Linked DNA regions of Schizosaccharomyces pombe. The gene in region 1 interacts genetically with each later gene. Each region holds a gene or a part of one and is shown in the gene's direction. Other genes may lie near its edges.

Region 1 (4,550 bases):
ATTTACCCTACCATTATTCATATGTTAACAGAAGACCTCTTACTGTCTGCATATGTCTAGAGAGTTCTGAAGCCTCCTTGTAAGAATCGCTTCTTTTACATTCGTTTATTTTTTTTTTTTAATATTGTCCGGAGTTTATTACACATGTTCTTTAAAAATATTTTTCCAATATATACATTGGCTGCTGGAATCTGAAATCACCGATTTGTCTGTAAGGAAAAGGATCGATCTCCTTTTCAGTTGTCTCAGAACGTTCACAGATTGCTATTAAATAATCTCTTTAAGATGACCAAGTTATACAGTTCTAGTTGATATAAATATTTTGTCATTTTTGCGAATATCAATTTGCATTTAATTTTTTACTTTAAACGATGCTGCTGGCGAATGCTTTTAAAGTTATTGAATACTTTCTGTTGAACATAGTCTTAAGATTGAGAAAGTAGATCTCCAGTTTTGATTCGAACATCTATCTCTGCTTTCAGAACTATTGCTATCACTTAATGCTGCTATTTATGAGGGTCGTAGAAAATCCGTTTGAGTACTAAGAGACTTTGAGTGGATACATGATTTAATCGCTTTTGTTTTAGTATTTAGTTTTTAATTGTTAGACTACTTGTATAGACTATTTCACTGAATCATCAAAATTGTTGTCTCTCTTTGTTGGCACCAGAGACTGATACTTTTTACCGACTTTCAGTATCTTTTCTTTAATATATTAATTTACTAATCAAAAAAGCTATTGAACACGTGTATTTCTGCCATGTATAATAAAAAGCCGCACTGTTCTGTATACGTATCAATTTGATTAAATTAGATAGTAATACTACTACATAGATATTCGTTACCCACTTTTAGCTTCTACTTTAGTATATCCACCCATCTTTGTGTTACTGCAGGTTTATTTATTTCAATATTTATTTTGTAAAAACAATTAAGTACATTCGTTAACTAATTATGAGAATTATTGCACTTCCTTTGCCAAATCAAAGGGTATTCTTACATTGTTATCCTTCTGAATACCTTGCCAAAAAAGTTACTATTCACGACAAAATTATAAACAGAATTTACAAGTATTGGGACTCCTGGAGTGCTTCAAAAAGCTATACCAAACAAAAGGTTGTGTCTTTGGGAAACCGAATTTTGCATGCAACTCCTTATGAAGAAAATTTTTTAAGGGCGATTGCTCCTGTTAAGAAGCTAAATGATACAGAATTACACCAAACTTTGTATATTGAACATCCTCCAAATTTGGAATCAAGTACTATTTTAGCTGAGTTGAATCGGTCCAAACAATTACAAAAGACCCATACAAATTACCTTATTGGTAATATTATTGGATTACCATTGACTATACCTTTCATTCTCATACCTCTAATACCAAATATTCCGGGTTTTTATCTTTGTTATAGAGCATACTGCAATTTTCGTGCTATTCAAGGGTCTATTCAATTAGCTCGGGTAATGAGCATAGAAAACATTCAAATGCAGGAAAGTGAAAAACTAGAAAAAGCATTGAAGTTGTTTACAAATGGAGATGCTACACCATTAAACGCTCTCATAGGCCACCCGGATTTCGTGGACCGCTACAAACGTGCCGTTGCTCAGGAGCAACGGAAATCAAAAATAATCAAATAAGAATATTTTTTTCCTTCTATTTTATGAAGTCCTTTGCATATAAAATCAATGACCTAAGTAGTGTGCAATCGTCGTTCCGGTCATAGTTATGCCATAACATTATTGCGCAGCTATGAGTAAAAAGAAAGTCCCAAACTGATATGAGGAGTGGAATTTTATATCAAGAAAACATCTTCCTTTTTTATTTTAAATATTAAAACTCCCATTCTTTTGTTCTTTCTCTTATTAGTGGTTGGCAATCGTTCATTCTTTTCTGGGGTTCTTTCTTTCTTTTAATCTTCTTTCCATCTTTCCTTTAAAAAATAATCTTCTCATATTTATATCTTGATTAATATATATTCTCATGGAAAAAGGTCATAGCGACTTACCTAGGCAGCCAGAGAGAGTTGCTCAAAACCCATTTTTGACATTTGATCAAGATAGCTTTCCTTCTAGCTATGGATCTTCTTTAAATGTTTCAGAGCAAACTTCTGGATCTTCAAGCACTTCTCCATTGCCTCAGATTAGTTGTTTACTTCGTAAGGACGATGTACCTTTAGCAAACAAAGAACTTTCTCGATCTCTCATTCATGTTCAAGAACTGAGTCGCTATCCTCCTTTTTATAACCAAGATCATCAACATTTAGGAGTACCGAGAAGCAGAGTGGGTTCTGATGTTTGGAAAATGAGGGAGAAATCTTTTTTAAGCCCATCTCAATTTAGTAGTATTGATTTAAGTTGGGTTTATCGATCTAAGGAAGAGGATGATGACTTTCATGATCCAAAATCATCAGTTGTTAGTTTAATGGGGGAAGAAGATTATTTGGGTTGGTCACGTTTTTGCGATCTTTTCTTTCTGTTCGTCCTTTCCCTTGGGATAGGATTATTATTCATAGTTTTTCCTGCTTTGACATTCACTGGAAATATTACTCCGAGTAAAGAAAAGTTTGATGCGATAATGGCTAATCAAATAACTGACCATTTGTTTGCGCACATGCGTGTTCCGCGCACGAACCTGATTGACAAGGATACGCCCTCTACAGCGTATCACAGAACCGGGTACAACGGTCGTAAATACAATTTGGTTTTTTCTGACGAATTTAACAAAGAAGGAAGATCTTTTTATTCCGGAAATGATCAATTTTGGGAAGCGGTTAATATTCACTATGCTGCGACGAATGATTTAGACTGGTATGATCCTGATGCAATTACTACCGTTAATGGAACATTAGCCATTCAACTCGATGCATTCTGGAACCGAGATTTGAATTTTCGTTCTGGAATGTTGCAATCTTGGAACAAGCTCTGCCTAAAAGGTGGTATAATTGAAGTATCGGCCTCTTTGGCAGGTTCAGGTGAACACGCAGGATTATGGCCAGGTATCTGGACACTTGGAAACCTTGCCCGCCCTGGCTATATGGCTACAACTGATGGAGTATGGCCATATGCATACTCTCAGTGTGATGTAGGAATTACGCCCAACCAGTCTTCTTACGATGGCATTTCTTATTTACCAGGACAAAAATTGCCAAACTGTGTATGTCTAAATGAGGATCATCCTAGTCCAGGTGTTGGACGTGGCGCTCCTGAAATTGACATTCTTGAAGGTTCAACAGAGAAGCTACATCCCGACGATGAACTAGACATTGGTGTAGTTTCTCAATCTGGGCAGTTCGCACCATTCGATTTTTTCTGGTTACCAAATTATGATTATTTAGCAGTTTATAATGACAGCATTACTCACATGAACTCTTATGTGGGAGGGCCTTTTCAACAGGCTCTTTCAGGAATTACTACTTTAAACAATACATGGTATGGAGGAAATGCATTCCAAATTTATGGTTTTGACTACAAGCCTGGTGAAGGTACTAATGGGTATGTATCTTGGTTTGTCGGTCCAAACTATACTTGGTCGATGCTTGGCAGCGCCGTCGGTCAAAATGGAAATGTCGGACCTCGTCAAATTAGTGAGGAGCCAATGTCTATTATTTTCAACCTTGGAATATCAAACAATTGGGCTTATTATTACTTCCGGGATCTTTCATTTCCTGCAGTGATGTACATAGATTACATTCGTATCTATCAAGACCCTGATGACACCAACTCACATATCGGATGTGATCCCCCCGGCTATCCTACTACCAAGTATATTGAAGAACATCCGTTAGCATACAAAAATCCAAATGCTACAACTTGGGAAATGGCTGGTTATACATGGCCTAAGAATTCTTTAATGCATAAATGTAACACTTAATTGCCATTATGATCATATTTTATATGAATTATCTATATATTTAAGATGCATTTCAGTTATATAACAATTAGAATTTAATGTTCATTTTTTTTTCTTTTTCAAAAAAAAAATTTAGATTACATATATATATGTCTATAAAAACTAGATAGCCAAAAGAACTTCATGCAGAATACAAATTTGAATTTGGTGAACCTAACTTATAAAGCAATTGTACGAAATTTATCGGGATATTGCTTACTTAAAGGAGAAACGGTTGTTGCCGTAGGCATCTCAAATGTCAATAATGCTTCTGCATGTTCTGTACTCATTAAATCGTCAATTATTTTCAAACCATCTTCACCGCCCAAATTAACAGCTTCTTCCAATTTCTTGTTAAACGCAAGAAGCATTTTTTTAGTAGACAAACGACTTAGTAGTAAGTTTTTTCCACGAAGATCGAGTTCAGATAATTCTAAAGAACACATCTTTTCGAGTTGTTCAAGCACCTTCATTTTAAGCTGTAACTTCTCAAGCTGAGCCTGGATTAACGAAAAAACCAAGCGTCGAAGCTGGCGATTTTCAAACGCTGCAATCAATTTTGCTTTTTGAGCAGCAGATTTTAAAGCATAATAAGCAACCCTCTCTAGTGGGTTTTTAAACTCGGAATTCCCAAAGGAGGTTTCTCCTTGTTTCACTGATTCAT
Region 2 (5,108 bases), on another chromosome or scaffold:
CCTCCCTTCCACAGCATAAGCTTCTCCAAGATTGTTTAACTTTTTAGAAATTAGCTCCGATTCAGTTGGTTAAATCTAGGCTCTTTAGTTTGTCTTTTAAGCAACTCATATACAGCTTATAATATCAATTTATTATAGACATATCAATAACACTTATTGCTCAAGTATTTACAAGCCATCAAAATTAACGCATCCTTAAATCTGTAACAAACTGCGTAACTGCAAGCTAACATACTGTAATTTAACGATCAAGCTCTTATGTAGACTTTACGTCGTTCCGAACTCATTAAGCTTGCTAGGGGTTTTAACGAAATTGCGTTATGTCATTCTGTGTAATAAAATTGTCACCACCATTCCTGAGATCACTCATCTATCATAGCAGTCAAAAGCATGCAGATGATCCATTGGGATATTAGAAATTGCCAAGCCTTCCAGTTCATTTCCATACGAGGCAAATGAGGAGAAACGAGACTTTTCTTCTCTAATATTGATCTATTCAAGAGCAATTTAGTCACAAGTTCTGATCATCTGTTCGTACTTGAATATGTAAACATTACAATAAACGGAACCAAAAGTCAAAGCATGCAAAGCGAAGTGAATTTAAACAGTTCATTCCTTATTAAAAGAACTGCTTGTCCATATTTTTTGACAAGAATATGCTTCTTTTAAGATAGACAGCAAATAGGCGGTTTTAAGGTTGATGCAAACATAAATCATGTTACAGCAACTACTTTTAAGGCGTAAAGTTTACCTTCATAGTTGACAGTAAATTATTTTTATCTTTCTATTTTTGAAAGCAAATTCGTAAGGAGAATAATAATAGTATTATAAACACCACTTGATCGCAGTGCTGCGTCTAGAGTGTTGATTAAAATATGACTCAATTGCTTCGACACCTCCATAGGACTACTTTTACTCAATAATCTGTAATCATCGAGTATATTTAAAGTAAGAGAATAGCCTCCATCCCCGCTTTCCAAAAACGTATACATATAAAGTGCATCGCATACGCTTGAAATTAACTTTTGATTCAGAAATCTTCTCGTGTCTAATCCTTTGTCCTAAAAAGCCTAATTTCGTGTATCTTATACTGCGAAGCAATACAGAAGATATTTTCTGGAAATAATTGACTCTTTTCCCTTCCAATCCATATACGAGGAATTTTTGACATTAAATTCCACTTTTAGAACCATTCTATTCTTTCTCTTTCCTTGCTACCACCATCCATTTCTAGTCATTCAGTTCAGGTTTTTTAGTAAACCTTCTTGTTAATTGGTTATAACATCGCTCTTTCATTGCTTAAAAGAGTAACTTTTTAAATCACCGTACCTTCCTTGCAAAGTTAACCTGTATACATCCTTCTGTGAACCCGCAACAGACCATTTTATTTTTTTAAATAAAGCATAGTCTCAAGTTCCCTAACATTTGATTAAATACCGATTGCCGATTAAAGCATTCCGACATTTTTGTTTTCATCAGATTATTCAAGTAACGAGTTAAGTATTTTTTACCTCGTTCACACATTGACTGCCTTTTTCTTTTTTGCATTACTTTTTTGACAATCTCGATAATCTTTTATTAATCCAGCCTTCATTTTCAATTCCTTTTTTTTTTTGAAATTCAAATTCTCGTTGACTCCTCACATCGACGACATAAGCAAATTCCGTTCTCTCACTAGGCCTATTGACCGATTTGAGCATTTTAAACAAGCATTGTTTGTCTATCTCTTTTTTGACTTCTGCATACCTCAGTCTTGTTACCTTGAACGTTATATTTTCTCTGTTTTTTTATCGAGGTAAACAAACAAAAAAAAACATATTTTATAGTATCCAATCAAAAAAAACCACTTTTTTTAATTTTTCATCTACAAACAATAAATAACTTTCAAACGAAAGAATTTACTGTTTAATATTCTGTTGATTCCTTAACTTCTTGGAGGATCTATTTATAAAACTGCTGCCTGCGACGATTCAAATCGAGGTGTTCCCAATCAATTTGTAAAACAGGTGTTTTCTTTAATACTTTTGGTTCTATTTTGCATTTTCTGTTTCTAGTACCGCCACGTTCATTTATTAATTATCCCTAATTGAATAATGAGTCAACTTTATGCTTTAAACGGACAACCTCTAGCAGGGAAATCTGATGACCTGGCAAATAAACTTGCCGCCTTCGGATTGTCTCAACCTAACCATAGTTCTCTTTCAGAACAACAATCGACCAACTCTTTGCTTCATGGTTCAGGAGCATTTAATAAACCCCCACTGTCCAGGAATTCAACGACAAATCCGCTTAATTTATTATATACACAAACACAGCAACCTGCAAGGTCGACAACTCCTTTTCTGCTTAACCCAGTAGGATCAAGTCCTGGTAAATTGCCCGTGCCTTCAAGGAACAACTCTTACTTACAGGGCACTGCGGAGTCAAACTCCGGTAATTTTGCAAATAATTCAATTAGCAATAATTGCTGGAATTCCGCATACAATTCTAACAGTTTCGAAGGCACAGGCAGCTCTCCAAATTTTCCACCCCAAAATCAATTTCTTTCAGATAGTCGATCTTCAATTGCAACGCTAAATGCCATCCCTTCGTTGGATCAAAGTGTTCTATTGAATCCAAATCTTCGGGCTAGAACACCTAGCTTGGTACCGGAACATTACTTTGATGATACCGACAAATCAGTACATTCTAAAAGTAGTTCTGGATCTAACTCCCTTAGTGAAGCTTCAAATGATGATTTAGAATCTTCTATCATTCAAATTGTTGGTGGCTTGCCGGACGATTTTGATGATAGAGAGCTGAGTGGAATTTTCACATTCTGCGAAGGATATGATTTTTCAAAAATCGAAAGTGAAAATGGGCACCGAAAAGCTATTGTATACTTTCGGAACGCAATAGCTGCATTAAAGGCAAAAAACATGTTAAACGCGTCTTCTACAAACAATTTCACCATTATTCAAAGGGATGTTGTAAGGCAACAAGAAAATGAATATCACAAGGGCATTCCACCATTGACTACCCCAAGTTTATATTCCCAACGCCTGTCAAATAACTATGACTCAACAACGCCTGGGTTTCCTCGGTTTTCACCAGCAAATTTTGATTCTGTCATCAATAAGGACGTTACTTCAGAATCACGAATGTCCACCTCGTATCCAGCGGTATTGGAAGCTTTTAAATCGTTCAACCCAATAAAGGCTCCTAAAGCTGAATATCTTAATCAATCACGAGCATCAATGGGAAACCCTTCACCTTCAAACTGGAATAATAGGCTATTACAGCCATCTTCTAAAGAGCAAGCCGTATATTCTTTCCAAACGCAGAAAAATAGCAAAGGGCTTCAATTTACAAGCAATGAATTAACAAACCCCACAGCCAAATATTCACAGTTGCCAAACAATATTGCTAATATTGGTGAATCTAATTCTTTATCAAATCAGCCGAATAACTTTGCACAAACGTCGTTCGATTACCAACCTAATCATCCAAATGCAATTTCGCCCAAAGCAAAGTTTTCTTTACCTTCAAGACCAAGTTATCATAAAGACAACTCTTTTATTTCAAAACAAGCTATCGATAAATCAAATCCTTTTGAAGAGGCATTGCGATTAGAACGTACGAGCCCTGTTAAAGAGCTACCTGCTATAAGACCACGTACAATTCCACTGAATGGTGTTGCCCCATATGAAAGTGAACTTAGGCCGCCGCCCAAGTGGAAGCCTATGCCAGACCTTAAAGTAGTCCGTTCACGCCCGTCATTAAAACAACGCCCTTTAAGGAGCGCCGAATATGTCCGTGTTTGTGAATTAAAATGCCTTCAGGAAGAAGAATTTGATAATAAAGTGCTATTGGAACAAGTAGAGTCCAATGTGCAAACTGATCATAACTCACCCTGTAACACAATTTATGTGGGAAATTTGTCCAACCCAGACCAAGAGAAAAAGCTTAGGTTGGCTTTTTCAAAAGAGAAGGGGTATCGGAGACTATGTTTCAAAATTAAGGGAAACAGTCCTATGTGTTTTGTAGAATTTGAGGAAGTTTGCCATGCTGCGAAAGCAATGGAAAAAATGCAAGGTGCTGCATTAGACGATAAAATTAAAGGTGGCATTCGCTTAAGCTATTCCAAAAATCCACTTGGTGTCCGCTCCACCGAAAACCTTTCAACCACAGCATCCCTTTTTCAACAACACGGCCCTCCGAAGAAAAGCACGGACTGCTACTCAGCAAAGGCATCCGCTGCTGTTGAACGAAAATACCATTTTCAAAATATGACTCCAAAACCAAATGGAACCAACAGTGTCACCACACTAAACAGGACCCAAACTCACTCGTCGGAAGTGAACGATTTGTTTGATATTTTTGAGTTTCCTAGCAAATAGAAACGGTGAGTTTTTCTTCAATAGTCAACACTATTGAAAAGAGCACGCTAAGGCTATGTAAAGAAAATGACTCTATTTCTATACAAAGTCAAAACGTTTGATTTTTAGTTTTAACATTCAGAATCAGTTGCATGACAGAATTATTTTATCCTTTGTGAAAAATTCCACAATTATTGAGAAAAAAAATAAAAAAATAATAATAACTAGCATAATTAATAAAAAATTTGGTTGAATTTGGTAAGCAATTATTGAAATTCAAAGTAACATGCTGTCAGCCTTCACTAAGCTAGATTGGAAAAAACTTGATCTCACACTTTGGTTGCAAAATGTAGAATAAAATTTATAACGCAATAAAATTTAACGACGTCTTCCATTTAAAGTCGAATTAACGATTTATGTTTGTTAGTTCGTCATGGTTTAAAAGTTCGGAAAGAGTTTTGAATGACAAATGCTTCCGTTTTTTAGAAACACCGAGGGTCATTATTTTGTTTGATAAGATTTGTGTAGAAGTAGTGTAAATACCATAATATGAGCAAATCAAATGCATCCAATATCGAGCGAAGGCTGTTGCTTTCGGATTGCTAGGACAATCAATTAACATATAAATTCGATAGCTTCTCTGCGTTTCCAAAAAAGAAGACGTATCAATTTCTGCTTTAATATTAAAGCTTTCCGAAGCATATATCGCTGGTGAATGGTCGTGGTCATAAGCATAAAGCTTTTCGTTCA

What was found.
Region 2: mutations in SPOM_SPAC23H3.11C (region 1) and mde7 together harm fitness less than expected from each alone (positive genetic interaction), as found in Schizosaccharomyces pombe (one large-scale study listed by BioGRID).

The regions. Positions count from the first base shown.
Region 1 is NC_003424.3:2,512,278-2,516,827, reverse strand, and holds SPOM_SPAC23H3.11C (glucosidase), read left to right. Parts: upstream 1-1,978; coding exon 1,979-3,868; 3' UTR 3,869-3,923; downstream 3,924-4,550. Other genes in the region: SPOM_SPAC23H3.12C (hydrogen/potassium transport protein), read left to right, coding at 955-1,635; SWI/SNF and RSC complex subunit Ssr2, read right to left, coding at 4,066-4,550.
Region 2 is NC_003421.2:153,813-158,920, forward strand, and holds mde7 (RNA-binding protein Mde7), read left to right. Parts: upstream 1-2,093; coding exon 2,094-4,379; downstream 4,380-5,108. Other genes in the region: SPOM_SPCC320.06 (uncharacterized protein), read right to left, coding at 4,765-5,108.